Elephas maximus indicus: one gene and its partners. The protein of the gene in region 2 purifies or fractionates together with the protein of the main gene of each other region. This does not show direct contact. Links are inferred from orthologs where the notes say so. Each region holds a gene or a part of one and is shown on either strand. Other genes may lie near its edges. The genes, in order: UBR2, NRP1, KDR and mitochondrial chaperone BCS1.

The links.
Region 1: the proteins of NRP1 (region 2) and UBR2 purify together in Homo sapiens (affinity purification with mass spectrometry; 3 studies listed by BioGRID and IntAct, counting the BioPlex papers as one, with this or other methods). This does not show direct contact. The link is inferred for Elephas maximus indicus from reciprocal best matches to the Homo sapiens genes NRP1 and UBR2.
Region 3: the proteins of NRP1 (region 2) and KDR purify together in Homo sapiens (affinity purification with western blotting; 7 studies listed by BioGRID and IntAct, with this or other methods). This does not show direct contact. The link is inferred for Elephas maximus indicus from reciprocal best matches to the Homo sapiens genes NRP1 and KDR.
Region 4: the proteins of NRP1 (region 2) and mitochondrial chaperone BCS1 purify together in Homo sapiens (affinity purification with mass spectrometry; 3 studies listed by BioGRID and IntAct, counting the BioPlex papers as one, with this or other methods). This does not show direct contact. The link is inferred for Elephas maximus indicus from reciprocal best matches to the Homo sapiens genes NRP1 and BCS1L.

The regions. Positions count from the first base shown.
Region 1 is NC_064819.1:107,011,464-107,018,575, reverse strand, and holds the start of UBR2 (E3 ubiquitin-protein ligase UBR2), read right to left. Parts: upstream 3,171-7,112; 5' UTR 2,763-3,170; coding exon 2,685-2,762; intron 1-2,684. UniProt on the Homo sapiens protein: E3 ubiquitin-protein ligase which is a component of the N-end rule pathway.
Region 2 is NC_064822.1:6,926,880-6,935,035, forward strand, and holds the start of NRP1 (neuropilin-1), read right to left. Parts: upstream 3,045-8,156; 5' UTR 2,953-3,044; intron 1,964-2,952; exon of another isoform or gene 1,875-1,963; intron 1,552-1,874; exon of another isoform or gene 1,518-1,551; 5' UTR 1,060-1,517; coding exon 993-1,059; intron 1-992. UniProt on the Homo sapiens protein: Cell-surface receptor involved in the development of the cardiovascular system, in angiogenesis, in the formation of certain neuronal circuits and in organogenesis outside the nervous system. Mediates the chemorepulsant activity of semaphorins.
Region 3 is NC_064823.1:106,202,237-106,209,847, reverse strand, and holds the start of KDR (vascular endothelial growth factor receptor 2), read right to left. Parts: upstream 3,089-7,611; 5' UTR 2,782-3,088; coding exon 2,715-2,781; intron 1-2,714. UniProt on the Homo sapiens protein: Tyrosine-protein kinase that acts as a cell-surface receptor for VEGFA, VEGFC and VEGFD. Plays an essential role in the regulation of angiogenesis, vascular development, vascular permeability, and embryonic hematopoiesis.
Region 4 is NC_064824.1:117,210,394-117,217,480, forward strand, and holds the start of mitochondrial chaperone BCS1, read left to right. Parts: upstream 1-3,976; 5' UTR 3,977-4,019; intron 4,020-4,093; exon of another isoform or gene 4,094-5,281; 5' UTR 5,282-5,330; coding exon 5,331-5,650; intron 5,651-7,087. Other genes in the region: ZNF142 (zinc finger protein 142), read right to left, coding at 1,370-1,649. UniProt on the Homo sapiens protein: Chaperone necessary for the incorporation of Rieske iron-sulfur protein UQCRFS1 into the mitochondrial respiratory chain complex III.

The DNA of each region.
Region 1 (7,112 bases), on a different chromosome or scaffold from region 2:
CTCCAGAATAGCCAAATCTATAAAGACAGAAAGTAGATTAATGGCTGTCTGAGGCTTGGAGGTTTATGCAGAAATGGAAAGTGACTGCTAATGGATACAGAGATTCTTTTTTAGGGTGATGAAAATGTTCTAAGATTAATTGCTGTGATGGTTGTACAACTCTATGAATATACTAAAACCCACTGAATTGACTGTGTATGAATTTTTTTTCAAATCTGTTAAAATATTAAAGCAAAAAATATATATAGACTTAAAACTTCTACAGCGAATATGTATTTCATTTATAATTGGGGGAAAACAATACATGTATTTCTTAAAACATAATCACCCATTAGAGCACAATATTATTATAATCAAATCTGTGGAGCACAAAATGTAGTAAATAAGAGCTGAGAAGTTTTGGGAAAGTCATAGTTGTTGTGGAATCAATTCTATCAGGAAAATGAGAAGACTGAGAAGAGGGAGCCATTTCCATATCCTAAATTTATAATAATTAAAGCCAGCCTAGATGCTTTTTGTGAGGCATAGTACTTAGGATATATGGGATCACAATAAAGTCCTTTCTCCTCATAACAGAAATAAGAAAAGCGGTGTGTAAATAAAGTGTGGGAAAGAAGAAACTAGCGCTCACTAGTAATCTAAAACGGATGTGATCCCAACAAATTACCAGTATTGTTTATCCTCTCTAACATTTACTTTAAATTGGAGAGGAAACTTTATTAAGTCTGTGAAAAAGAGCTGTGCTGGAGCCTAAGTTGAAAGAATAGTTTTAAGTGCTATGCTAACATAACTAAAATACAGACAGTAATCCTTTACAAAGTAAGGCTAGGCTTTATAGCTGGAGGAATCTTATATTTTCATATTAGTTTGCACCTAATATTTGAAGGAATTTTGTTAATTATTAGAGTAAACATTTTTCTTTATATTATTGGTCAGAAAGCCATTTAAAGTAAACAGAGCAATAGTAAAATGGAATTCAGTTTGTTGATCTTCACAAACTCAAATGAAGTCCAAATTAATAAATTTTTATTGCATTTCCCTTTATTTTCCCCATTGTGTCTGCTTGAGAATTTCACTGCTCAAGAACTAGGAGCACTGGTCTCCAGCACCGTTTCTGTTAACTGGTTTCTTCAGGAACCTCAACAAGTTGGAGAAGCTCTGCTACTCAATAGTTTGCACTTTTAGAATAGGGATAATAGAATATGTAGCCTGCATCTCTGGGCCAACAGGCACTAATATTTGGCGGGATTAAAAAAATTACTTTGAGGTAACTAACTTATTCAATATCAACAGGCAAGACCATGGATAAGGAATAGCTGCCGTTATTATAATATTACTGTTTACTTGTAATGCTGCTTTCATTTTCTTGTTCAAATCTCTTTGATAATTACCAATGAAACGCAGATGGGGGATGTAAATCCTTGGGTTGTTACCACATTAAGCAGAAAGTAAAAGAAAACATAGACTAAGCAACCAAGTCAGGACTGTGGTTAAAACCAACAACAAAAAAACAAGCAAAGAACCATGGATTTCTTTAAATGTTCACCTCTACTCCTGCCTTCACTTATTTCCACCCTAAAACTTCAGTGTCTTCATCAATTCACTCAAAATAACTTCACTGCCCAACAGCCCCACAGTGCCCCCTGCTCAAATTTTTTTCATAACATTCAGACTGTCGACTTGTGTTCACTCCCTTCCTAGTAGTTTTTTAAACTGGAGGCCTTAGAGGTGGGGCCCAAGTTGTTTTGGTCCATTCATAATCAATCTGGACAATCTGTTCTAATGGGTGTTCCCTGTCCTGCTTGGGGAAAAATGCCATCGAGTTTCATCAATCATTTTACAACTACTAGCATATTCAAATTACAGTTTCACTACAATGCTAAGTATCAGTTTGGGGCATACTGCTTCTACTATGCTTTAGCCAACCCTCATATTATTAGCTTATATTTGGTGAAAACTGCTGCCTCGAAGTTATATAACGTTTGTCGTCTATCCAAAGACCATCAACTCCTAGAAAAAAAAAATTTCACCTGCAGCCTCCATCACTACTACTTTCACACATTCACTAAACGTGTCAAGACACTATCTTCCACGCATTCATAAACGTTGTGGACCGACCAAACAGGTTAAAAAGCGCGCTGAAGGGGTTAAGGGAGAGAACTGTGTCGTTTGCATCCCCGGTGCCTAGGGCAGTCCCAGAAACAAAGTGGGGGCTCAGTTAATGAACCTTTTTTGGTGGACAATGTGTATCTCCGCTTATCTCAGAAAACGGAATCGGGAAGACCAAGTAGGGCGATAATACCCAAAACGCTAGGAAACATCTCTTTCCCTCCCATCTTCCAAGAGCTGGAATAAAGGGCAAAGGCCTGCGTGTTGGGGACTTGCGGGAGGGTGAGGGGAAGAAGAATAATGAGAGCTCTTGGGTCAGCCGGGACTAAAAGGGAATGTAAACGCGGCTGGTGCACAGTGCAGTGCTGGCGGCTGTTTGAGAATGAAGAGGGAAGGAGAGAAAGGAGAGGGGAAAAACGATCGGTGGCCTGCCCGGGCCGTTACTCCACAAGGCCAGGCCGGCCCGGTCGTCACCCCAAGTCAGGACCAGACTGCACCAGGATTTCCAGGAGTGGGTTCCTCCCCCCGGCGCGGCCAGCGAGGGCTGGACGTCCCCGCCCGGGTCCGGCACTCACCCCCGCGGTTTCCTCGGCCGAACATTCCAGCAAACTCCGGTCGATGGCCTGCACCTCGGGCTCCAGCTCCGACGCCATCTTCCCTTCTCCTTCTCCCCAGCGCTGACGCCGCTACCGCCGCCCCGAGGGCCGCGGCCTCGCCACGGCCCCGGCGGCCGCGACCGCTACCCTCGCCCCAGGCAGTCAGTCAGTCAGTCCCGGAGCCGCCCAGGCGGCTGCGGGGGAAGCAGCAGAGGGAGAAAGGCGCGGTGAGCCGGACAGGAGGGACGGCGGTCTTCTGCGCTCCCGCCCGGGCTCAGCGCCTAAGCGTCAAGTCACTGCTTCGTCCCTGCCCAGGGGAAGGACACAGAGGAACCCAAACCTGGCACCCTTGCTCGCTACTACCGTCTCCCGCACCGGGAAAGGGGCAATAACACTCAGGAGGGGAAGAGGAGGATACTGGGAACTGTAGTAGATCTCAGCACAGCACAGAGAACGGTGACACCCTTATAGGGTGCCCCACGAGGGTATTGTGGGAGTTGTAGTCCATTTCTAACCGGAGACTGAGCAAATGGCAGATAAGGGGGCGGGACTTTCTGGACGACTAGAATCATGGGAAGAGATTAGTGGCATGAGACGCCTACCTGGGAAAGGCACGAACCCAAGACCAAACCAAACCTCTTGTCGTGGAGTCGATTCGGATTGATAGCGACCCTGTAGGACAGAGTAGAACTGCCCCATAGAGTTTCCAAGGAGCGCCTGGTGGATCCGAACTGCGGACGTTTTGGTTAGCAGCTGTAGCTCTTAACCACTACACCACCAGGATTTCCGGAAGAGGCACCAGAACACGATAATGTGGGAATTGTAGTTTTATCCCATACACCCAATTGTTCATTTTTGTATTTTCAGCGCTTTGAACAGTGCCTGGCACGTGGTAGACACGTAAGTACTTGTCAAAGCCTGACTTAAGGTAGGCACTCAAATGCTTGTCAAAAGAATGGATGAATTGCATTCTACTCCTGTAGAATTCTTTGACCCTGTCATCCATCATCCTCTCTCCCCTTAGACTAGTACCGAATTGAACATTACCCAGGTGTTTTAAGGTTTTAAAATATGTTTAAATGCTGTTAATAGAAAAACTTTTCAAGCAATTTAGTTATGACCGCTTATCAAGATTACGAAAATTTCCTGCAAAGGAAAAGGACTGTATCAGGCCAATTTGAAGATTTACTCTTGGTAAGGACATTTGATAGACATAGACAACCATTGTTAGATTAGATATTTAAAAAAATTCTGTTTGGTTAATGGCAATTAGATTCTTGACTGACAGTTGGGTGAATGGGTTTCTTAAAACAAATCTTCAACCATTTAGAGTTTATCAGAAAATTGGTTACACGTTTTATCAGGAGTGCTAATTTTTTCCCAGAAGGAAGTTGTGAGTTACATTACGCAAAAAAAAAAAAAAAAAAAAGTTCTGACCCAGACCAAGTAGGGAACATGTTTTTGTTGTTGTTATAATTTGGAAATTTTAGAATCTTACAAGCATCCAGGAAGAGAAAACACAAAGGTTCCATAATCAGAAGCACTGGGTGCCTCAACCTTTCAGATATACATTTGAGATTATTATATTTTCAACCAACATTTCTAGGTATTTGTGTTGGGATTGGTGGTGATTCAGATGATAAAGTTTGCCATATTTTTAGGATAGTTAAAATGTGAGCTCCATGTAGGCAGTAACTTTCTGTTTTCACTTATGTACATATGTTCCTAAAACAGTGCCTGACGTATTAGATTCCCAATACACCTTGGTTTTTTTAACCTAATAATGCTTTGTTATTTTTATGACTGCATAGCGTTCTGTGCTATTCCATGAATGTATCGCAATGTGTTTAAACTATTGATGAACTCATTGGTTCTTTCCAGTGTTTTGTGTGATTAAAAGAATATTCAATTAAATTCCATTTTCATATTGATTGGCAAGCTAAATTTTAGGTATACCCACAAAACCCACTGCTGTCGAGTCGATCCCAACTCATAGCGACCCTATAGAACAGAGTAGAACTGTCCCATAGAGTTTGCAAGGAGCGCCTGGTGGATTCAAACTGCTGGCCTCTTGGTTAGCAGCCATAGCACTTAACCACTATGCCACCAGGATTTCCAAATTTTAGGTATAGCAAAGGATAAATTTGTAGAAGGGAGTTTTCTGGGTGAAAGGAAATAACGTAACTGGTGAAAGGGCAAAAGGTACAAACTGAGGCTCAGAAGGGGCAGGACTGTAAAAAGGCCCACTTGGGTGCCACCTGTTATACCCAGTCCCAGGCACAGGACCTTCCCTATGCTCAGGGCTTTCCACCCTGGCTCCTCACTGGGCCTAGACATGGTCTCAACCTCCAGCTCATTACCTACTTCCCTCTCTCTCCCCCTGCAAAAGATACCCATCTATGTACTATTTCCCACAAAGCCCAGTCTTTGGCCATATTCATCCTTCCATCCACCCATCAATTCATTCAGTGCATATTTTCTGAAGCTCCTACTAAATGCCAGTCACATTCTTGTTACTGGCAAGATATCAATTAGCAGGCACAGTTACTGCTTTCATGGGCTTATATTTTAGTGGAAGAGACAGACAATAAAAAAGTAAGTGAGTGAATACATTATACAATTACAGATATTGAGAAATGTTCAAAGAAAATAATTAGGGTGATCAGAGAGGTATATCTGAGGAGGGGAAAGTTGAGCTGAGTCTTGAATGAGAAGAAAGGGTCAGTCATGTGAAGATCTGGGACAAGGGCATTCTAGGCAAAGTAGACAGCAACAGCAAGGGTTTTAAGGCTGGAACAGACTTGGCATGAATCAGGAACAATAAGTTTCATGGCAGTTAGTTTTCATATAAACTAATAAATGCTATGCCAGCTGGTAACAGTAATAGGTATATTATTCCTATTCTCAACTAGCATCTTTCAGATAAGTGTTAATACATTTCAGTTTAGATACAACAAAACTGAGACTTATGAAGGTAAGATAACTTTCCCAAGGTCACTGTGGTAGGTTGACTGCAGTTTAATGACCCTCATTAGGGGGCTTCCTGTAGGCACTTCCTTTACAACGTGACTCTACCACTCTTTACATCAAGAAGTGGTGTCTACAAAAAAAGACCAGACTTACTGGTCTGGCAGAGACTAGAGGAACCCCCGAGACTATGGCCCCCAGACACCCTGCTAACTCGGAACTGAAGCCACTCCCAACGTCCACCTTTCAGCCAAAGATTAGATGGGCCTATAAAACAAAAAATAACACGTGAGGAACATGCTTCTTAGTTCAAGTATATGAGACCAAATGGGCAACACTTGCCCAAAGACAAAGGTGAGAAAGCAGGAAGGGACAGGACAACTTGATGAATGGACGCAGGGAACTTGGGGTAGAAAGGGTAAGAGTGTTGACACGTTGTGAGGATTGCAACCAATATCACAAAATGATTTGTGTATACATTTTTGAGTGAGAAACGAATTTGTACTGTAAACTCTCACCTAAAGCATGATAAAATAAAATAAAGAAGTGCTGTGTATTTCCCTACCCCTTGAATCTGGGCTGGCCTTGTCACTTGCTTTAGTGAATGGAATGTGGTAGAAGTGATAGAATAGCAGTCCCAAACCTAAATCCCCAGAGGTGGTCTTGCATGCTTCCTTCGAGTGCCCACTTTCTCCCTAAGAACAAGTCTGCGCTAGCCTGCTATAGGATGCGAGACCACATGGAGGAGAATCTAGATACAGCTGGCAGCCAGCCAACTCCTAGAAGCAGAGGCACCTAACTGACCTGTGGGTAGCTGCAGACACATGAGGGAGACCAGAAAAAATGGCCTAAATTGCCAACCTGCAGAATCATGAATAAATGATTAATTAAAAAAAAAATTTTTCATGGCAAAGCATATAAAACATAAAATTTGCCATTTTAAGTATTTTTACATGTGCATTCAGTAACATTTGTTACATTCACAATGTTGTGCAACCACCATCACTATCTATTTCCAAAACTTTTTCACCCCAAACAGAAACTCAGAGCTCATTAAGCAGTAATTGATGTTTTAAGCCACTAAGTTTTGGGGTGATTTTTAATGCAGCTATAGCCATCAATTCAGTCACACAGGTAAGGGGCAGAGCTGGCCTTTGAACTCAAGTCTTTCCAACTCCAAGGCTCATATTCTTTTCATGCAATGCTGCTTCTCCAGTGTACCCATTTCCAGGTAAGTTAATTTATACATATATATATATTTTATATAATTAACCAAGCTCATGTACAGTAGGCCAAAAGCCAGGGAAGGCTCCCTTCTCCTTGTTGGGTCCTATATTATTTGACTCTTACAGGCCATGGATAAAATATTGAGAACTTTGTGTTTTTGAATTGTTTCAAAAGAGTGAACAAAGACATTTCTATGTTAGGAAAGCCACTTCA
Region 2 (8,156 bases):
ATGTAATTTAAATTCCTCTCGGTATGAACACCTCCGCTTGCAGTCTCTTATTAAAACAATATACCACAGAAAGTAGTGGTTGTTCTTTTCTTCTAATTACTTTGATTGAAATCTAAGTCAGACTAAAGTAAATATTTGATAATTAGTTATTAATAATCGCCCAAGACTTACTGTAAAGATAATTTCATACCCTTGCCTTCAGCAACTTTTCAGTGGTAGTTTAACGTGCCTACAACCAGGTCACATAAAACACATTATTTATGTTACATGGTCCTGTTTATACCCCAGCACAGTCTTTCATTTACTTAACAGTGAGTGGTTTGAAAGAGCAAAGTGGAAGCTGCAACTAGGTTAGGGGTTTCGAGATATCCTGGTGCCTTAGGCTGTATATATCAGATTCCTTTATTGACACCATGCAACTTTCATTCAAACTCCAGACGGATTAGGGACGAGTTACAAAACCGTGGGCGGGGGTTCCATCAACCAACAAACCACTGTCTTTTGCAGGCACCCGCCAGAGGAAACAGTTTGGGGGAGTTGCAAGAGAACCAGGAAGTTGTTTCTCCTGGTAAAGTGTTCATTAACTTTTAACTGCCATCAAATTTTTGAAAGGGAGGCTCATCTAATTGCCTTTGGGAGGAAACATTATTAAGATAATTGGTGTGCTGATCTGGGAAGGTCGGCAGCTCCGTCTTGCAAGAGAGATAGGAAAACCTCCACAATCAAACAGCCAACTTCCAGGAGGGAGCTGTGTGGTCCAGGAGGGAGCTAGAGGACTTGAAATCCTCTTGCCATAAACCGATTGCTTTGATTTCTTTATTTCTCCGCCCGGATAAAAGTTTCCTTCGCCCGGGCGGATGGCTCCTCCGGCTTCATCCCAGCAGCTCTGCGTGAGTCGGGTTGCTGGGGTAGGAGGCAGAGCCCGGTAGGACGCCCGCAGCCGGGGAGCCCCGGGCGCGGCGCTGTCAGACGCGCCTCCGCCTGTCACTTACCGTTGCGAAAAGCGCTGGCCAGGGCGAGGGCGAGCGCGGCGCAGAGGAGCAGCAGTCCTCTCTCCATTCTACCTTCTCCGGACCTCCAGGCAAAAGCGGGAGAACGAGATCGCGCAGGGAAAATACAGCAAAGGGAGTACTCTGAAAAATCCCAAGCGCCGCAACTCCGCTCAGAGCTGTAAAATCCTCCAGCCGGTCTTGGAGGAAGGAAAGCAGCGAGGCAATGCCTTGATCCCAGAGAAACGGTTCTCGTTTTGTGTCTCAAGTCGCCTGCATCCTGTCATTTAGCTCCTGTTTCCTCTCCCTTTTCCCACACTTGTTCCTCTTCCAAGAGCCGCTGCCCGAGCCATGTCTCAAAAAAAAAAAAAAAAAAAAAAAAGTGGGGGCTGGGAGGGGGAGGAGTGAGGTAGGGAAACATACACCAAAGCCAATTTCCAGAAAGGAAAAAAAAAAAAAAAAAAAATCTGGGTAGTCTCTGGACCCGTTGGAGCCGAGGAGCTGGCGCCCAGGGAAGGTCCGGGGTGTCTGCGGAAAGGAGAGGAGCAAGGAATGAAAAGAGGAGCGGGAGACAGAGGAGTTTCACTAACTGCACCCCCGCCTCCCCCACCTCCTTCCGTCCTCCCCCTCCCCTTCTTGAGCCCTTCCCTCGCTTCCTCCTCCCCTCTCCCTGCACAAGCTCGCCAGTAATTGCCTGACAGGAGAGGGGAGGAACAAGTTTCCCTCACTGTGCCTTCCCGGTCGGTCTGTCTGTCTTTCTCCGAGGCCCTGCAGGGATCTTCACGAGGAGGAAGGCTCTGTGATCTGCGCCGAGGGCGTGCTTGCGTGTGTGTTTGGGGTGGGGGTATCGATGTCGGTGCCAAAGAAGGCGCAGGGTTCGCCTACCTCGGCGGACCTCGCTTCTGCACCCCGGAATGAGAGCCGGGGAGGCTGCGGGGCAGCGAGGATCCCGCTGCCGAGAAGTGCGGGGCGCCGGGAGGTGGCGGCGGCTTCTTGCAACTCCAAATCCCCTTGCTGGCTAAGAGCGGGGCTTCTCCGCGCGGAGCTGGGCAGGGGAGCTACGATGCCAGCTTACTCCCCACCTCTTACTCCCCGCCTGACCAGACTGGGACCTGTGGCAAGGAGGATCAGGGCGCCGGCTGGGCACTCCTGGTCAGGGCTGGCGGGCCAGAGGTGGAAAGCCCAGCTGGAGTAGGAGACGCACTGCAAAGCCGAGAAAGGGGAGGTAGTGTCAGTGCCACGTACGGCCATGTCAAACCGCCTAGGCGTGCGAGGCCGGGCTGCAGGCGGACACGGTCTCCCGCCCCGACGTCAGGGCGCGCGGCTGGTTGCCAGAGCGCCTGGGCGCCAGGGTGCCCGCCGTGCGCCGCGGGGCTCCATTGTTCCCCGAGATTTGGACAAGACTTCCCCTTCGGGATAGAGGGGACGCCCGCAGGGTGGGAGATAAATCGCCTTCCAGCTAGGGGGCAGTCGCCGCCCAACCCCACCCAGCCCCGCGTCTCCGAGCCCAGGTACTCAGCGGTTTAGAAATTAGGGGTCCAGTGGCCCCTGCTTTTTTGCATCCCGGGGGAAGAGGAAGCGCTGAGGAGAGAGGTGGAAAGGGGGACTATTGGCAGGGCCCGCACGTCGCCGACTCCCGGCAACAGGCAATTGTGTGCGCTAGTCCTATAGCTTCCTGCCCACTCCCACCTCCCCACAGAGAGGAGTCGTCACTGTCGCTGGAGGCTCCCCAGTTTCATCCCCCAAGGGCTCCCAGAGAACTGCTGTTGAAGTGCGTCTGCGGATATGAATAGCAAGGACATTTCAGAGAAACGAACAGTTTGTGATCATGGATTCAGCCCTTTAGAGGGGTCAGTGCCCGCGGATTCCCTCCAAAGGAGATCATGGACAAGGTGAAAAGGTCACTCTACCTTCTGGGAATTGGCGTTTATTTACATATCCCCAAATCAGACCTTATTCCTACCTGGTTTAAAGAGCTGGCAAAGGAGATTAAGAATGTTGACAAGGAGACTCTGGTCAAAGGTTTTGGCGGAAGAACTAGGGGCGGGCAGGGAGAGTGGCAGCCCAAAGCGCGCCGGCCGGAGGCAAGGGTTTCACACTCGCGGGCTGAGGCTGGGCGCGGTGACGCGCGCCCCTCAGGGTGCAGGCGGGCTCCGTGCCCGCGCTGAGGAGCAGTCCGCGGCGCCCGAACTCATTGGTCCGATCAGATCCTTGCCAGTTTCTGGCTTCAAGCCCTCCTTTGCAAGTCTTTCTTCTCACCCTACCCGCGTCCGCTGAGCCCCAGCCGCCAATCTTGAGACCAAGACACCTCCGCTCCGCAAGCCATCCCTGTCTCCAGAGCGCCTCCTGTCTGTCCAGTTTGCTCTTTTTCGAGTCGCCGACCCCTGGGAGGCACTCCCAGCGAGGCGTGGGGTAGGAAGGTGACACTGGCCCTGGTATCAAATGGGTCGAGAGATAGGGTTTGCGGCAGGGGGGTGGGCAGGTCTACGCCTCTGGCCTGGCGGCTGAAGGAGGGAGGAGGCGGGGGAAAGCCGCGCCCAGAGCAGAGCCCAGGGGAGCCAGCGCTCCGGCGGAGGAAACCTGGGCTCCTGGCTAAGACTTCTGCTCGTCGCCGCCTCTCCGCCTTATCTCTGCTCTGCACGCAGCCCCAGCCCCGCCAGTCAGTCCCCAGCTGCGCGGGATCAACATCATCATCAGATTTGGGGTGGCCCCTAGTGACCTCAGTCCAGGGCTCGGTGGGAGAGACGGCTTTCAGCACCTGGCATGTTGACAGAGAAAGGGAAACAGGGAGGTGCAGCATCGGGGCGTCCTAGAGTTACAGATAGTCGCCTTCTTCCTACTGGGACTGTGCGGCCCTCGCTCCAGGGAGCCGGTTCTGACCCGTCTGAGCCTCGGCGGGGTCAGCGAGGGGGCACACGCGGAAGACTGGAGCTGTGTTGTTTTTAGAAAACTGCTTCCAATCTCTCTTCCCCTTTCCCCGCTGAGCGTGCATTTCCCAGCCTGGACTCGAAAGGGCAGTAAATAAAGCCACCGGGTCGCGCACTCAGGGACGGACTGTCCCCCACCCGGACCTCGCTTCCTCCGGGCTCTGGCAGCAGTCGCTCCTCCTCCGGCTCTCACGCGCCTCCCCAGCGGGAAGGGCTCCTCCGGCGCGTCAACGCTCAGAGAACGCCTGTCTCCTTTCTTGTTCACCAGCTAAGCACTTTTGCCCGCTTTTCTCCTGTCACCTAATAAGGCATGCAATATATACTCTAGGGGAAATACCATACTTAAGTTCTGCCACTGATTTTCCTGGTCTTAGCTGATTTGAGGCTTTTCTAGACTCCTTAGTTTCCAGGTACAGTACTGGATAATAGAACCCTACCTACCACGCTGCTTGATAATTGCTAGCTCGTGGGCTGGTGCAGAGCAAATTGCCCCTGCTGACAACCTCTTTCCTTTGCTCTTGTATTCCACTAAGTGCTGAAGAAGGTCAGCTTTAGATTTCTGCAATTCCCCAGCAAGGGAGACAGACTGACCTTTATACAAGAATAAGTGATAGACAGAGGAGGAATTTGGCAGTGTTCCTGGGTTGATTTTATTTTGGTATGGTGAAGGCATCACTCTTTCCCGATATCGCAAATCCTCAGGCTAGATAGGACCCACTTCCAATGAAGGGAAGAGGTATAGACTGCACTCCCAGAAGGCCCTGCGGAGGCCCTGGGTCAGCATTATTCAGCCCCATTGACTAGCACTCAGGGACTGCTCCAGAAATAAGGCGCTGGCTAGGGTCCCCCAGAGTCAGGCTGGAACCATGGCTCATCGTTAAGAATAGACTGGGCGGTAAATGCTTCATTCCTTTCACCAAGCTCTCATCAATTCATCAGAAATAAGATGAGATCCATTGTTCCCAGAAGGGCATTAAAGCCACTAACTTTCTCATAGTATTTCAGGTTGATGAAATGTGGAGATTTAGGTTGGTATACAAAAATAGTATCAGGTCTATCTTCGTCAAGTTTTTAAAAACATCAAGCCCAGGCATCAGAAATGCAATAAAACAATATATTTTTAGTAGGCTCTAACCTACATTTGAGATGTAAGAATGGAAGAAGTAAAACTGGAAAAAGACTAAAAAATTGGAATTTAAATTAATCTACATTATTTAAAATAATTCAATTTAAAACAGCATTTATGTCAAATGTCTCTATCATAAAGAGATGTCTTTTGGACCTCATTTATACCTATCTCCTGAATATGTATTGCCAAAGGAAAGAAGGAACTAAACAAATGAATTTTTACTTTATGATACTTTATTTTTGGCCTTTCAAAAGTTATCTTGAAAACTCTTCAAGTATTCAAGAAAAGATAACCATCTAAAGTTTTAAGATAAAGCTGTAATACAAAGTGTTTGTAATATAGTGCATGCAATTGGAAGATACAGGAGGAAAATGGTAAATTTTGAATCATGTTGGTGGATTCAAGACATTTTGTTAATAGTAGAGGTTAAGCTAGAATTTGAACACTTGTATTGGTTGTAATGAATAATCTCAGATTATTCTGTCTTAATTGAATTACTTTTTCAATTAGGAAAATTAAAGTCAAGATAACCAATAAAATACCCACCAAACCATAAGAACATTAAAGAGAAAATATTCAAAGTTTCAAAAGAACTATTTTAAAAATATAATTTCAGTGACCAAAATAAGAAAGAGGCTCTCTCTTTAAATTCAGTCATAGTTTTGTGAAAATTAATATAGAACTCAAGTTTTAAGAAATTCTAAAAAAAAGCAAGAAGTATTCTTAAAAATCAAACAAAGAACAACAACAATAACCTGCCCCCCCCCCCCGCCACGCAATTAAGAATTGTGGAATTTATTCTAACTGAATTTAAAAACTAGTGAAGAATTTTAATTTGAATTTTATTAGTTAATCTGCTGTGTGGAGAATGAGTTAAGAAGGGGGGAAAGGACGGAATGAGGAGACCAATTAGGAAGCAACTATAATGTGATATAAGCAAGAGCTTGAACGAGGGTCATGGGAGTGGAAATTGGAAAAAGATGTATTCAAGATATATTTAGGAGGCAGGACCAAGATGGCGGAGTAGTTCAGACGCTTCCCGTGAACACTCCTACAACAAAGACCAGAAAAAACAAGTAAAATGATTACATTTAAGACAAGTTAGAAGCCCTGAATATCAAGGGCAAAGTTAGAAAACAGACTGAGTGGCAGGGGGAGGGGGAGATGGTTCAGAAGTGAAGAGGAGTGCTGGATCTGAATCACCAGGAACTCTCAAGCTGTGGTGGGTTGATGGTAGTGTTCAGTCATAGTCTCCTCTGGGAGGAACAGCCAGTCACACAGCCTACTCACACCTCCAAAACCAGAGAAGAACAGTGCTTTCAGCAAAAGCTATGTACTTGTGTATATTTTCCTGCACTCCCAGCCCCAAAGCCAGCTTCAGTGGCTGTCGATTTCCCTGGGCCTGAGAGAGGTCCCATTGCATGTCCTGAGCCATTCTCCCCGACTTGGAGAAGGAATAAATTCACAATTGGGGAAAAGATAATCTGTCAGCTCCACTAACCTGGGGAACTCAGGACAGAAGTGGCTCCTATCCAGGCATAAACGGACAGTGAACTTTGAATATCTTTCCCCCCTGTATGGACCCGTGTGGGCCTATTTGAGTATGCCCTTGTTGGCAGACTGCAACTGTTTCAGCTGTGTGGTGGAGAGGTGGCTGTTTGATATTTCACACTGCTTTGCCTATTAAACAGGGTCCTCATCTACCCACATCAGGGGCCTAAGGACTGGTGGCTCTACTAAGGTCACCCAACCACCTGTGACAGGTGTCCGGGGATAACTGGTATCTCTCAGTCCTTACAACCAAAAGCATTGGGTGCCCAAGGTCTGTCTGCAGAACCCACCCGCCTGTGCACTCTACGGAACAGGGATGCGCTTTCCTCACAGACACTCAGGAGATGGTTGTCAGCACCCTGCCCTGTTCAGAGTGTGACCTCCTGCTGTGACCAGATACTGGTACCTACACCAATCACCCCAACCCCTCTAAGACTGTAGGACAGAGCCTGTACAACACACTTGATGACCAACTACCTGGACACCTGAGCTGAATCCATACAAGAAAAGTGAATGGACTGCTAGGCTCATATACCTGGTAACAACTCTAGCCATCTGGTGACAGGATGTTAGAGCTTCAAAGGTGGAAATAATCAAACTAGGTCACTCAAGCAACCAATTTGGACATATCAAAATAAAACAAAACAAAACAAGAAGCTAGAATATAGTAGGCAAACATAAACTAATACAATAACTTATAGATAGCTCAGAGACAACAGTCAATATCAAATCACATAAAGAAGCACACCATGATTGTTTCAACAAGCTCTCAAAACAAAGAATCAAGGGATCTCCTGGATGAAGGTGCATTCCTGGAATTACCAGTTGCAGAATACAAAAGCTTAATATACAGAACTCTTCAAGACATCAGGAAGGAGATCAGGCATTATGCAGAACAAGCCAAGGAACACACAGATAAAGCAGTTAAAGAAATTAAAAAGGTTATTCAAGAACATAATGAAAAATTTAATAAGCTGCAAGAATCCATAGAGAGACAGCAATCAGAAATTCAGAAGATTAACAATAAAATTACAGAGTTAGACAACTCGATAGAAAGTCAGAGGAACATAATTGAGCAAGTGGAAGGCAGAATTGGTGAGATTGAAGATAAAGCACTTGGCAACAATATATTTGAAGAAAAATCAGATAAAAGAATTAAAAGAAAAAAAAGAAAACGTAAGAATCATGTGGGACTCTATCAAAAGAAATAACCTACAAGTGACTGGAGTACTAGAACAGGGAAGGATAACAGAAAATACAGACAGAGTTGTTGAAGATTTGTTGGCAGAAAATTTCCCTGATATTGTGAACGGTGAGAAGATATCTATCCAAGATGCTCATTGAACTCCACATAAGGTAGGTCTGAAAAGAAAGTCACCAAGACATATTATAATCAAACATGCCAAAACCAAAGATAAAGAGATAACTTTAAGAGCAGCTAGGGATAAAAGAAAAGTCACCTACAAAGAAGAGTCAATAAGAATAAGCTCAGACTACTCAGGAGAAACCATGCAGGCAAGAAGGCAGTGGGATGACATATAAAAAGCATTGAAGGAAAAA
Region 3 (7,611 bases), on a different chromosome or scaffold from region 2:
TCAGGATCCACAAAACAGCAGCTTAAAAAGTGATCAATGCTGGGAAGCACCCAAACTTAGTGTGATCCCTAACTCACATCAACTAAGAACAAATGACTCTCTGGACCTAAACTAGCATTGATCTTGCTGGGGAAATAAAGAGTATGAGCAAATATGGGCAAGTAAGAGAGAGTATGAGTAAAGAGAGTATAAGCAAATATCCAGTGCATCCAATCTGTGGACTCCAACGTGAATAACTACAGGCAAAATGAACAAACTGATCACCCATGTTCTCACACACCCACATAGTTACTCATCAATAACACAGTCAAAAAAAAATGGAAATTAATTACATCAATAAGCCTCAGAAACTGTCACTGGTACTGACATGCTGTGTTTGAGGCAGTGGTTCTTAAATCCTAGGATGTGTCAGGCTATCCTTAGGCCTGTGAAAATGCATTTTAGCAAGGATTTCAGGTGACTCTGACATAGATGGTCTAAGGGCCACTCTTGGACAGCTATTGGTCTGGTTTGTCATATTCAGTTAATTAGCTAGCACACCATGTTTCAATATGAAGAAATTAACTGCCCCCAAAGAATGCAAGCAATAAAGCAAAATGTGGAAAAGTAAAAGAAATGCCTTTCAATAATGGAGTCGCACTTTGCCTAAGAAAAGGAGAATGAAAATTCACTTGTGTGAGCATAGATTTCAGACTTCACTGGGAAACAGCAGGTTGAAAAACACGTTGAAAGCAGAAACTTACTACAACTCACACAATGATCCAAATGAGAAATAAGTCATTATTTGGGCACATTCACGTGAGAGCAAAATGGTAGTAAATGACTAGGCTTAAAATAAGCTATGCTTCCACCATCACCAAAATAAAAGATTCTTTAAGATCTCTCCAAATTATTGCCACAAATCATTCCACACTCTAGACACACTTTGCTATGTAAAAATTAAACATAAAAAAGATGTGTTCCCCATTCATAGGAAGCCAAGACAACACAATACTGTTCTACAGACAAATCTACGACAAAAATCTATTCAACAAGCTATCAATAATGATAACTTCAAATTCATCATCTTTCGGCCAAGGCTCAATTTTTTTTTCCTCCGTTAAGCTTCATACATTTTTATTGGCAAATTTGAGCTCTACTCTTCAGAAAGTTCTGAAGAAATGACTATAAAAGATACATATCCTTCTACTCCATAACAAGGCCTGCTATGTTCAAGTTCCATAACCAATATTAATTAGTTTGTGCACTATTACCCCTTCCAGCTCAAACACAGGAAGGAAAAACAACAGTGTCTCTGTCTCTAGAATTGGATGGCACCAATTATAGCTCAATCCAATTAATTAAGCCACATACTCCAAAAGGGCAACCTCACCATTATTCAGGGCAACTCTATTACCATTACTACCGCTGCGCTATGAAACACCCCAGGCTTAAAAGCGACTCACTTCTTTGTGGGATACAGAACAACCACATGTTCCAGACATTCATTCTCTGCCCATGAAGGGAGAGAGAGGGCCCTTGTCAGGGTCGAATGAGTGTCCAGGGTGGAGCAGGGCCTGGTGAACCAAGTCTTTATTCAGAAAATTCAATAACTCTAGACAGATGATCTTGCTACTGTAAGTGAGTAGAAAAGTCTTAAGACACGTGATTCTTTTCTTTCAAAATAATAAAAAATAATTTTCCTAAACATTTGACTTTTTTCCCCCTCCAACCTCACGTAATCTGGAAATCAGTAAATTATGGCTACGGAGAAGGAATGTTATCTGGGAAACGTTAAAAAAAAAAAAAAAAAAGTTATGGCACTAAGAGCGTTTGTGTTCCTAATCTTAAAGGAGACCGCAATGTTAGGTGGCAAGGGAAGTCGCAAGTGGCGCTAAAACTGGGTATGAAGTCCGGCAGACCTGGTCTTCAGGGCGAACTTCTGACTATGCGCTTACCGCAAGGACAAAGCCGCTTTAAAAAACGTTAACACTGTTTTACCTTGAAAGGTGACTGTCACTTAGAGACATTCGGGAAACCTGTCACAGCCCCAGGGCCAAGTCCCAATTTCCCCTACCTTCTCTGTTTTTTCTCTGCGAGGAAAGAGGCGCCCTGCACCAAGGAAAGGGGGGAAAAAAAAAAGGTTCCCTCTCACTGGATGCCATCTCTTTGTGGTTGTGCTTGTCAGTTCAGACCAAGAGGGAACGCTGGCCGGGATCCCCGCTCCACTCTAGCGGAAGTAGAGCTGAGTGCACTGGACGCCCTGGGACACCAGGCTTACGCTCCTTGCAGGGCTTCATTCCCAGCGGAGGAGCTGCCTGTCTGCACCCGGACTAAAATAGTGCGCCCAGCCCTTAAGACTTTTCACCGCCTGTTCCCCGCCTGCGGGGCACCTCCTGCACGCCTGCCCTGGGCGCCTTCCTATCCCCGCCTCCGGGAGCCCGAGCGTGCGTCGGCTGGCTCGCAGGACACTCTCCAGTCGAGGCGCCTGTCAGAGACCAGAGCCGTAGAAAAGGCATCGTGTTAGAACTCAGTAGACCACCGACTCGCTGGGAGGTCAGTCTCCGAGCCTCAATTTCCCCAATGGTTAATTAAACAGCACTAAGCGTCAAGTCCTTTCCAACTCTCCAGCTCTAAGATTCGAAGTTATATCGGGCCGCCATGTCCTCCACAATCTGGATCTCTCCGTGCGCACCCAACCTGTCCGCCTCCCTCCCAAGGAGTGGGCTTCTTACCCCCGGAGGCAGCCCGGCTCTCCATGCACAGCCACAGAGCGATGGCTAGGAGCGCCTTGCTTTCCATCCTGCACTTCACGCCGGGCGCAGTGCCCAAAACTCAGACGCGCGTTCCCGGAGGGCTTGCCTGGCGAAGAAGGCGTGAAGGCGAGACGCGTGCCTCAGCGCAGCAACCCGGAGCGCGCAGGGCGAGGGTGCCCCGGCCCGGCAGTTGCTGGAGAGGCGTCTGCGGGCGCTTGTCTGAGAGGAGATCTCGGCTGAGGGACCGGCTCTGGGCCTTCTACAGGGAGCAAATGATGCCCGTGGCAGAGGAAAGGCAGCGTCAGCACACCTCCTCTCGCCCGGGGTCCCCGGACTCACTGCCGAGTAGGAACCAGGCAGACACTCTAGAGCGCTGAGGCGGGGCGAGGTGAGGCGGGGCTGCGGGCGGGACTCCCCTGGGCCACAGGTCCCGCCCCTCACCCGGCCGAACTGGGTGTTCCCGGGACTCCGGGGCCTGGATCCCGCTCCTACAACATGCACTACATCTCCTCACCTCTACACCTGCCCGGGATGCGCCCGGCCCCGAGTCGGCCCGGGTGCAGCGCTCCGGGCGCAACAACTTAGTTTCTGGTGGAAATAAAATGTAGCCGGTAAAGGGCTCTGAACCATTCCAAGGTTCAGTCGGCTGCCGGTCCCCGAGATACGAGAAATATCACCGGAAATGCAGCAAGGGGTGCGCCGCGTCTAAACTGTATGCGGGATTAGGTTGGAGGAGCAACCAGGGAGAAGCAGATACTGAGCCGAGACGTCTGCGGGGTCGCAAACCCGCAGTGAACGTAGACACTACGAGTGTTTTGTTTGGCCAGCACAGTTGTACTTTGAAAATCTGACTCTGAATGTCTCAGTCTGAAAATACAGTTCCCCAGTTCCCGAAAGTTCACGCGGCTTCAAATATTTTGAACTTATCTGCTTAGCCCCAGAAGGCTTTCAAATTTGCGACTTCTGCCTAGCTCCTAGCCAAAAGCTTAAAGCAGGGCTTCAGGGAGCTGAAGGTATCCCGGGCTCTTGCGTACCCGCTGCGTGAGTGGCCTCCGTCCCTGGCATGAGACTCTCAAGAAAGGCCTTTTGTGTCCGGTGTTACTGGACAAGGAGCACCCAGCCTGACTCTACTTGGACTCTTAGCCAGCAGTGGCTTCACTAAAGGGGTGCAGGGGTTGCGGACCGCACCAGGTGACACTGTCAGAGGCGGTGGCACCAACCTCCCCCGGAGCCGGCCGTGGGCGCGTGGGCCTCCCCCGCGCCGAGCGGCGCCGCGGAACACGCACACAGTCGCGCGCACACATACACCTCCTCTATAAAAAAAGTTTGTTTTTTTTTTTTTAGAGGAGCTCGGAAAACCCGGGCACAGCCCAAGAGCTGTAAGACTCCCAACTACATTCCAAAAAGCCCGGTCCTCTGGAGCCCTGGACTGAGCAGTTCATCTTGGAGAACTGCTTCCCTCTCTCCCTCATGGCAGGGGAGGGGGCGCATGTCCTGGGGCCTTCCAGCCGGTAGAAACCCTCCAAGACAGCAGAGTTTTATTTAAAATTTTTTAAAACCCAAGTGGGGAAAACTAATCAGACTTAAAAACACCAAAAACGTCGCCAGTACCAACCTGGATGGTGAGGAGCAGAGAGGACATAAGACATATAACATAAGAGCAGAAACCGCTCGGTCAATTCTTGGCTCGCTCTGCCTCGCTTTCCAAACCTAATCCACTAATGTATCTCACGTAAAGTTTAATGTTAAAATGAACGTGATTTTGATGTAGTTCTTAAATATTTTTACTTCGAATTCTATTGTTTCCTTACTGAATTTTCACTTGAACCAAGTGAAATGTAAATACATTTAGGCTGTGCGTATGATAGAAAACTGTAACTTAAAGGTGTTAAAGGTGTCATTTTAATTTTCCTACTTGTTTATATCACTACTATTGCTATTACATTCAGTGATATATGGGAATTACGATTTATGAATAGTATTAGTAGAACTGCCCCACACAATTTCCAGTGAGCAGCTGGTGGATTCAAACTGCCACCTTTTGATTTGCAGCCAAAGCTTAACCACTGTGCCATCAAGGCCCCATAACATTACTAAGAATTCTGTATGGTCTGGTACTGGAGGAGGTCCACGGGGTGGGGCAGCACCATGAGTTACCACACTGAGTAACACCAACCCTAGTGATACCACTGTTAGCCAGGCCCCTTTTCAGAGTCTGAAGTTCCTGCCCAGACAACCTGAGGCTGAGCAATGAAGCAAAAACTCCCATATCCTAGGCACCCAGAACACCCAGTGACCAGACCTCACCACTCTTTCCATGAATGTAGACTACTTGTGGTGCTGTTTGTAGAGAAACTAGCATTTTTTCATGACCATATTTCTTTCTTCTTGTTTTCTCTTTATTTCTCTTTACATCCAGGGAGTGACATCAATTGTCCCTTAACTTCATTAAATCATCACATGTCCCCTAACTTCATTAAATAGGAGTCTCTCAAATCCCTCTGTCTTTTACTTCCAAGGTGCATGCAAGCGTGTTTTCATAGCAGCTGAAAGAACTATCCCTTCAGCAGGATGAAGAGGAAGAATTTAACCCTACATTTAGTCCAAAACCCTCCTCTGGAAATACACAATCATCATCAGGTGTTGCTTTTCTTCTGCTATTTAAAAAATACATTTCTTTACTCTTCTACTTTTCCAACTTGATAAATGAAGTATTTTAACTCTTTTTTAAGTATAATAAATGCATATGGGTAAATTTTTTTCCAAAAATACGAAAAAGTTTATAGTAAAAAGACCTTTAAAAAAAAAAACAAAAAAACCTTTCTTCAACAGAGGCAAGAATTTTTACCAGTTCCCTTTTTCCAAGCAAGTTCTATGCCCTTATACGCAGAGTAATCATCTTCCTTTTTCACAAATGGCGGCCTTGATAGAACTGTTGTTTGAATCTTGGCTTTTTTCACTTTAATATATACATTGGTGAGCACTCTACATCACTCAACCCTCAGAGCGCCATTTCATTCTTTTTAACGGTGGCATGATGTCCTACTCTACAGATATTTATCTAGGAAGTGTTGTTGAGGAGTGTTTTTTTTACTGGGGAAGGTCCTTAAAGAAACACCTCTCCTCCTGCTAGCAAATTTAAGAAGTAAAACAGATGGGCTCTGGCAGAGTTGGATGAGGAAGAGGGAGGTGGAATGTGGTTTGGTGAAGGCAATTTTTCTCCATCTCCATCTTTAGACAATTCTCTCTCAGCCTTATTTACAATTCAGGACACTTCCTCTTCCAGATCTCAAGTAAGAAGATAGTGTCTCCTCCTCCAAATGCAAACCAGAACCTGCAGGCCCTTGGTAATAGCCCCGTTTCGATGTCTTGGAGGAAGTGATGCATCTTTGATGGCCACAGGACCAGAAATTGGCAGGGTCTCAATGAAATCAATCTACCACATTCCCTCCCACACAGCACTTAGAAGGGCCTTGTGTTCTTGAAAAATGAGAGTCTGTTAAAAAAAAAAAAAAAAAAAGTGTTCCATGTGCAAAGCTCTCCTGTTATCTGGCACCACTGCAAAAGAGTGACTTTGTGAATTAGTCTGGCAGTGCAGGTATGGCCACCATCTAGCACAGTGTCTCAAGAGTGTTCAGTGATGGCGTTCAGACACACACCTTCAGAGGAGCAGTGAAGGGCAGTAGCTAAGCACGCAAACTGTAGGCCTACACTGCTTGTGTTTGACTGTCAACTTACCACTTACTATCCATGGGGGCTTGACCAATTTACTGGTTGCTTATCTACAGAACACAAAAGATGATAATATACCTTCTCCACAGAGTTCTTCTAAGAATTGAATGAATTACTACATGCAAGTCACTGAGAATAGGACCTAGCACCTGGTAAGCATAGGACCCTACACATAAGCACCTGATACACCTCAAGAAGTATTTTGCAAAGGTTAGTTATACTACAATGCATGGTCTACTTCACGCTGCCTACCTCTAAACTGCAGTAAGGCTCAATCATTCAATAACAGTTTTTGAGCATCACTATGTACTAGGAACTGGGGTTGTGCACACGGAATATATATTGCTCATATCACCAAAGCACATAAATTACACCTCATGACCCCTGAATTTGGTTCCATCACCATCACCAGTATTTTAGACTTCAAATCTTAAAAAGTAAATATGAAGATAAGCAAAAGGTTAATAATTGTGGAAGCTGAATGATGGACCTGAAGGGTTCATTTTACTATTCACTCCACTGTCAGAGTCTTGCTGTGGTTAATACACAGATTTAGAATGACACTGAGTTAATCTTTCCATCACTGTAGGCATCAGATTCCCGAGCTGAGGCACAACTAAGATATGGCACGTTGGGCAGTGCCCTGGGCGCCACTTAAGGAGGGGCGCTAATGAGCAGTTTCTGTTGGCCATGGAAGTTTCCATTGCCAGCTGTGAGAGATGGTTCAGCAATTTAAAACCAATTGCCATAGGTGTTATTTTCCCTAGATAGGCCCCTGGCTTCCTCACTGGTAAGTGAGAGTAATAACTCTTGCCTACCCTCCCTCAAGGATTATTATGAGACTCCAATGAGACAACCTCATGAAAGTGCTCTGTAAACTGTAAAATACGTTATAATCATGGTGGTATTGATAATATCACTCAACAGTACTTGTTAAAAGGTCTTTAATTGGCTGGCTGATTATGCCTTCCAAACATACCCTCTAATTTGAAAATTGCTTTCAACTTTAAGAATATCAGCTGTTCATGGTGATGGCTGAACAATATGCTGAACGTAATTAATGTCACTGAACTGTACATGTGAAGATTGTTGAAATGGCATTTTGTTACCTATACATTTACCATAACTTAAAAATAAATAAATA
Region 4 (7,087 bases), on a different chromosome or scaffold from region 2:
TCCCTTTCTTTTTCTTATTGTGGAACTCTGAATCTTAAAGATATTAACTGTTTCTTGTATACTGCAAATATTTTCCCCAGCCTCTTTATTTATTCTTTATGGTTTCTTTCATCACACAGAGAAGTTTAGCTAAGCTTTTCCAGTATTCTTTGCCACAACACTATACTGCCAAAGAGAGTGGTGACAATTAGCTGGAGGATGGCAGTTAAAAATATAGGTAGTTTCCTTAAAATAAGAGATTATAGATGGTATGTGGCTACCACTACATACTATTCTAATCAGGACCACAAATAGATGGACCCTGATAGAATGGGAGAAGAATGTAGATCAGAACCTCAAACTCCTTTAAAAACAAAAAACAAACAAACAAACAAAAAAAAAACAGACCTACTGGACTGGTTGAGACTGGAGGACTCCCCGAGTCTAATGCCCTGAGATACTCTTTAAGCCTTGAATCCAAACTAGTCCCTGAGGTCACCCTGTAAGTAAATAACAGACTGGCTCACAAAATAATGAATACCACCCGTAAGTGCTGCGCTCCTTTTAAAAATCACCTATGTGAGACCAAGTGGTCAACAATTACTTTAAAACAAAGATGAGGATGTAAAGCAACAGGGAAACTAGATTAAAGGAAACAAAACAACCAGAGCTAAAATAACAAGAATGTTCACGCACTGCAACGAACGCAACCAAAGTCACTGAACAACTTGTGCAGAAACTGTTCTAAAGGAACCTAAACCACTACGTAAACCTTCACCGAAAACACAATTTTATTAAAAAAATAAAAACAAGGGATTATAGATATGGGCAGAATAAAGGGATGACTCTTTCCCCTAGGATAAATACAAATGCTCAACTGCCACTCTTTAACAGCTTGCTTGGATGAGTTACTTATGTTATGCAGGAGAAACTAGGACGGGAAAGCAGGTACCAGGTTACCTCCGGAAAGCCCTGCCAAGCCCAGGTGGTGGAAGAGAGCCTGGGCCTTTTGCCTGATCCCTGGCTGCAGTTCTTGGGTTGGAAGACCAATATGGGTGAAAGAATTCCCGGGAAATATAAGAATAAAAAGAAGCCAGGATTGGCCAGAGGTGTCAGGAAGGTCTTCCTCTCTGGATTACTGCCTAGCAAACTGAAGCCCATCCTGAGCCCTCACCAGGAACAGGCTCTGCCAAGAGCTTGGTACAAGGTTGTGCATCACCTTGGCAGCCTTCGGTCAACATTCACCAACTGCAAACCAAATTACAACATCTCAAAGTATAAAAATAGGATGCTGCCCTGTGTTCTCATATTTATACAGAAAGATCAAAAATAGCATGGACAAAACCTCAGGGCTGCTTGTTCCACTGGCCTCTAGCAACTGTATTTGTACCTGGGGTGTCTCCAGGAGCATCTGGGGATAGGTTTCCAGCTACTGCTTCCACAATGATCTCCATGTTCCCTGTGCTCTCATCAGTTGCTGTGGCCTCTACCAGCAAGCAGCCTGGGTCCGGAGGCAGAGTTGTGGGGCTCCCAGAGGGGCAGGGGCTATGAACAGGCTCCAGGATTCCACGGTTAGAGAGAGGTTGGGGGATCAGCAATAGTTCAGAGCACAGTCCATCCATCTCCCCAGTACTGTTGGCTGGCTGTGAGTCCAACACAGGGTCTGTCATCACCACCGATTTCAGTGCTGTGGCTTCTTAAGTGCTGATAAGCCAACGAGAAGAAAAACAAAAACAAAGAGTCAGAGGTCTCACTTTTTTCCCAGCTGGTGTGGGTGTACAGCCCAGTGTCTGCCAACCTAGGCGGTTCATGCTATACCTTATTAACCTAAAGAGAGATTTTCTTTTTATGACTACATCGAGAACAAAAAGAGAATAGAAATAATGATAAACAGGGTCACTACTGGAAGACAGCCGACAAATCCTGGCCAAGATATTAAAGACAACAGGTTGTGTTTCTTGCACTGCTAACACTTAGCTAAGTGACCTTGGACAAATCATGAAACAATGATTTGTTTTCTCATCTGCAACAAAATTTGGTGGGACCAAAGAAATCTCTGCAGTGCCTTCCCCTCTTAACATTTTATGATTTCACTGTTCTTCATCACGTCTATAAGGCCCTTCATGATCTGGCCTCTGTTGATCCTTCCAGACTCAACTTTCACTTCTCCCCTCAACAAACCTCTAAACCAGCCATATCAATTTACCATTCCTTAGACTCCCAAAATTCTCCATACCCCAGCACATGCCTCTCTCTTGGCGTGACATGCATTTCCACCTTCTCTCACCTGCCTTCCCAACTTCTAACTACCCTTTAAAAATCTGCACAAATGTCACTTCCTCTACGAAGGCTTCTTAACTTAAGTTGTTTTTTCTCTTCTGTGGTCCTAAAGACACTTTCTACGTGGCCCTATCACAGACTATGTCACATTGCACTGCTGTTTTGCTATCAGTCTCCCTCCTTAGACTCTGAGCTTCTTAAGTGGAGCTTTTTTTCTTTTAAGTGACATCACTTCACTGAACACAACCCACCAACAATCTATGCAAGTTAGACAAATAAGGTGATTCTAGTGAAGAATTGTAGAGGATCAACTGTAGAGACGCACCAGGGTAAAATGAGTTATCTTGGTAACCATGTGATTCCTTACGCATAAAATAATACATGTGGAGAAATTTCAAACTCATTGACTGGACTATGGCCTCAGACTAAACACTGGAACACAACTGAGAAATGAATGGTGGTTAAACTGCATATCCTGTTAGACATGACTAAAACAAGTTTAAGCTGAATAATTCATAACCAACAAGAATAACGACAGTAATCACTTCATGGAAGATCAGTAAAGACCTAGGGCTAGGAAGAAATCAGGTTGCACGTGAGAAGCAAGATGCACAAAAAAGAAACTAAGTCCCTGCAATCTCATATGCCCTGTTCTCCAGAATCCTGCCTCTCAAAATCTCAGTTCACACGGAAGTGCCCTTCTGCGATTAGAGGGGTTCTCAGCAAACCACAGCCTTCATTGATTCTTATCTTCGCTCTGGGGTATCTTTCCGTTTGGTCCTACATGGTCTGAAAGGGGAACCAAAGCGCACGCGATGCGGTCTAGATTGAGAACCTTCATCGTCTAGAAGGCGCGGTGAGTCGGGAGACAGGTGGATACAAGAGAAGAGATGAGCTGATCGCTGGGATAGGAGCAATGAGGAAAAGAAAGGGCAAATGAAGGCAGTGAGAAAGAAAGATTCCCGGCTTGGGGACCAAGGCCTTCAGGCTCTGACTCACCGTGCGGCCTTGGGCAGACAATTACTTTGCCTCTCTGGGCCTCAGTTTTTCCATCTGTAAAATGGAAACGATGACAGCATCCACAATGTCTGAGAGGAGTGAGGATCACAAGAGCCGAAGAATGGGAAAGGTGTTTTGTAACCTGCAAGGCTTAGGACGGAGCATCGTCATGATTACGGTCCTGAGGAGGCAGCGGGTACCTGGGAGTGGTCCAGAGCAGTGACGCGGCTGAGGCACCGGGGCCGACCTCCTTGGCGTGCACCCTTCAGCACCTCCTCCCGGGGGTTCCCCCTGCCCAGACCAACCCTCATCCTCGGGCTCGAGAAACTTTTGCCTAGGGATCGCTCCACCCGCACAGCCTTGCAGTGCCCAGCCCGTAGCCACTCACTCACCTCCCGGCCCAGAGCCGGCGGGAGCCGCATCTCTATGGTCGATCAGCGGCTAGAGCGGTCGCCCGGGGCTCCTTTTGTGCAACCGCCTCTGGCCCAGCGGCCTCTAGGACGTAGGGTACATGAAGGCTACTCTTTCCTCCTCTCGCCGGTTGGCGGGGTACTCTATGGTTTTATCTATAGTTTCCCTTCCCACCTCTCCCGGCCGTGGCTCCCAGGGAGTACCATCGAGAGTTGTGGGGCAGAGTGGCAGGGCCTTCTTGGTGGGCGTGGCAGGAAGTAGGCAAAATAAGTCGGGGCTGGGCCAAGCGGCGCTTCCCTCAAGTGCGAGGAGGTGAAACCATCGAGAGGGAGGGCCAGAGAGTCATGGCGGTAAGGGGGCGGAGTGACGGGTCACTCCAAACCACGCGGCTGGAGGCGCAAGCTGGGGTGTGGAGGGGGTTCGGGAGTGGGCTCCTGAGCGTCCAGCATGGGCCGGGGCCGGGGAGGGCTCCTTCTGCGGCTTTCCATGCAGAGATGTTTTGGAAATCTGGATCCTAACCCTGAACCTCCGCCGAGGTCACTGCTGTCAGTTCACCGCCCTGCGAGCCAGGCGCAAGGCAAAGTGGCAGGAGGATTGGTGGTGGGGAAGAAGGGCGGGATACTAGAAACGGCTTGGCCCTTACCCCTTGGGATCTTACAGCCTAGAATTAGACACGGTCACATTTTATTGGGGTAATTCAGCAGAGACTCCGTGGAGGAAGTAGCAAAAGGGCAGTATTTCTTTTTCCGAGAATGGAGGGTATAAAGAAGAACGGGTATTCCGAGCTGAGAGACCTTCAAAAGCAAGGCGGTGGGAGGTTGTTCGCATATTTTTTGGCTAGAGTATTAGAAGCTAAACCAGGGAAGGTAGGTGGGTGCTGTGTTGGAGAGAACCTTAGATTCTAGACTGAGGAGTTCGTACCTAATTCAGTGGTCTGTTGGGAGCCATTGGAAGTATTAGAGCAGGGCGAGTGATAGAATTGGAGCTGAGCCCACCTGTGTAGCATTTTGGTGAAGCTGGAGGTGGAGACTCATTAAGAGGCCATTTCGAACTAGAATTTAAACGTTTTAGAGAGACAGGTTAGATGAGAATTAATAAAATTCTAAGCAGGGCAGGTTAAGGGGAATTGGGCGTGAAAGGCAGAGTATGTTTGAAAGACCTTACTCAAGGAAGGCACGGGGTTAACTGCCATGTCAGTGGAAAAGAGTAGCTCTTTCACTCTCTGCTGACTGCAGGCATTGGGCACCTTTCTGTCCCAGCTGGTCTCAGGGACCACAAAAATTCTGTCCTTCCGTTATCCTAATGTGAAGCTGGTTACATTGCTCCCTGGGGTTTAAGGAATCTCCAGACACTTCCTCTGGCAGGAAACAGGTATGAACAGGCTAATGAAGGGCAAACGGGAACAAAGGGCCTGGAGTCTCAGTTCTCTTGCCCTCGCATTCCAACCTCTTCCCCCTCCCCCCCACAAAGGGTGGATATTGAAGCACACAGTAGTGCCTACCTGTCCCTCTACAGGAGGGAGTGGGGTGGTTTGGGATAGGAACTATGGAGTCCAGTTTGTTTCTAAGCTAATCTTATGCATTGTCTCATTTCCACTGCCTTCAACCCCTAGGTTTTGATAATGCCTCAGGGCTTGTAAGGCTCGGTGTTTCCCTTTCAAGATGTCCCTCTCAGACTTTATTCTGGCCCTGAAGGACAATCCCTACTTTGGGGCTGGATTTGGGCTGGTTGGTGTGGGCACAGCCCTCGCCCTGGCCCGGAAAGGTGCCCAACTGGGCATGGTGGCATTCCGGCGCCATTACATGATCACACTGGAAGTCCCTGCTCGAGACAGGAGCTATGCTTGGTTGCTTAGCTGGCTGACCCGCCACAGTACCCGAACTCAGCACCTCAGTGTGGAGACTTCGTACCTTCAGCATGAAAGTGGCCGCATCTCCACCAAATTTGAATTTGTTCCCAGCCCCGGAAACCATTTTATCTGGTAAGGTTGGGAGCCAGGGAAGGCTTTAAGAGCAGAAAAGGAAAATGAGGGGAGCAGGGTCTGACCCATTTGCTCACCCCATTTTGGCCATTCTTTTTCTTTTTTAACTGTGCTTTAAGTGAAGGTTAACAGAACAAATTAGTTTTCCATTCAATAGTTTATACACAAGTTGTTCCATGACATTGGCTGCAATCCCTGCAGTGTGTCAGCACTCTCCCCGTTATCACCAAGTTCCCCATTTCCATTTGTCAGGTTTTCCTGCCCCTTCCTGCCTGCTCATCTTTGCTTTTGGGTAGATGTTGCCCTTTTTGGTCTCGTGTAAATGATTGTTCAGACCAGTAAATATGGTCGTTTTTATGAATTTGAATTTTGTTCTTTTTTTATCTCTAACTGGGACCTTCTGTTGTGATCCTGATCAGGGTGGTAGTGGTAGCTGGGTACTATCTGGTGGCGTAGTGGTTAAGAGCTACGGCTGCTAACCAAAAGGTCAGCAGCTGAAATCCACTAGGCGCTCCTTGGAAACTCTATGGGGCAGTTTTACTCTGCTCTGTAGGGTCGCTATAGTTAGAATTGACTTGACGGCAGTGGGTTTGGTTTTTTTGGGTACCATCTAGTTCTTCTGGGCTCAGGCTAGTGGAGGCGTGGTTCATGTGGTCCATTACTTCTTTGGATTGTTTCCTTGAGTCTTTGATTTTCTTCACTCTCCTTTGCTCCAGACGGAAAGAAATCAATAGTTGTGTCTTAGATGGCTGCTGACAAGCTTTTAAGACCCCAGATACTACTCACCATAGTAGGGTGTAGAACGTTGTTTTTATGAACTATGTTTTGCCAGTTGACCTAGATGTCCCCCAAGATTATGATCCGTAGTCTTCAAGCCCAGTAACTCACTTCCTTGAGGTGTTTGGTTATATCTTGGATGTTGCCATGGCTGTGCCCCCTGTGTGCTCTGTTATATATATGGATGTACATGCTGCACATACGAATATGTATGTAGAAATATCCACAGCCAAACCATATGCGTGTGGATGTACTCCCATACACCCTCCCACTTCTTTTCAGCATACATATCTACTATGTATCCACTCAAATTATTGTTTGTTATTACTGTTGTTGCAGGATTGTATATGTCATAGTATTTACCACTACGTATCCACTCATAAATTGTTTTTACTGTTGTTCCAGGATTGTATATGTTATAGTATTTACGTCCTCTTTTATCCTTGTGTACCTCTCAGTGTCTTCTCTTGCCTTGGTTGTATTGTGCTGACTTCCTCCATATTGTGTACTGCCTTTCCGTTCACTAAAGTTAACACGTGTCTACTCTCTAGTTAGTGATTTTCCCTTCTTCACCCTCCCATCCCTCGTAACCATCAAAAAATGTTTCTCTGTGTAAACTTTTTCTTGACTATTCATAATCGAGGTCTCATGATATTTGTC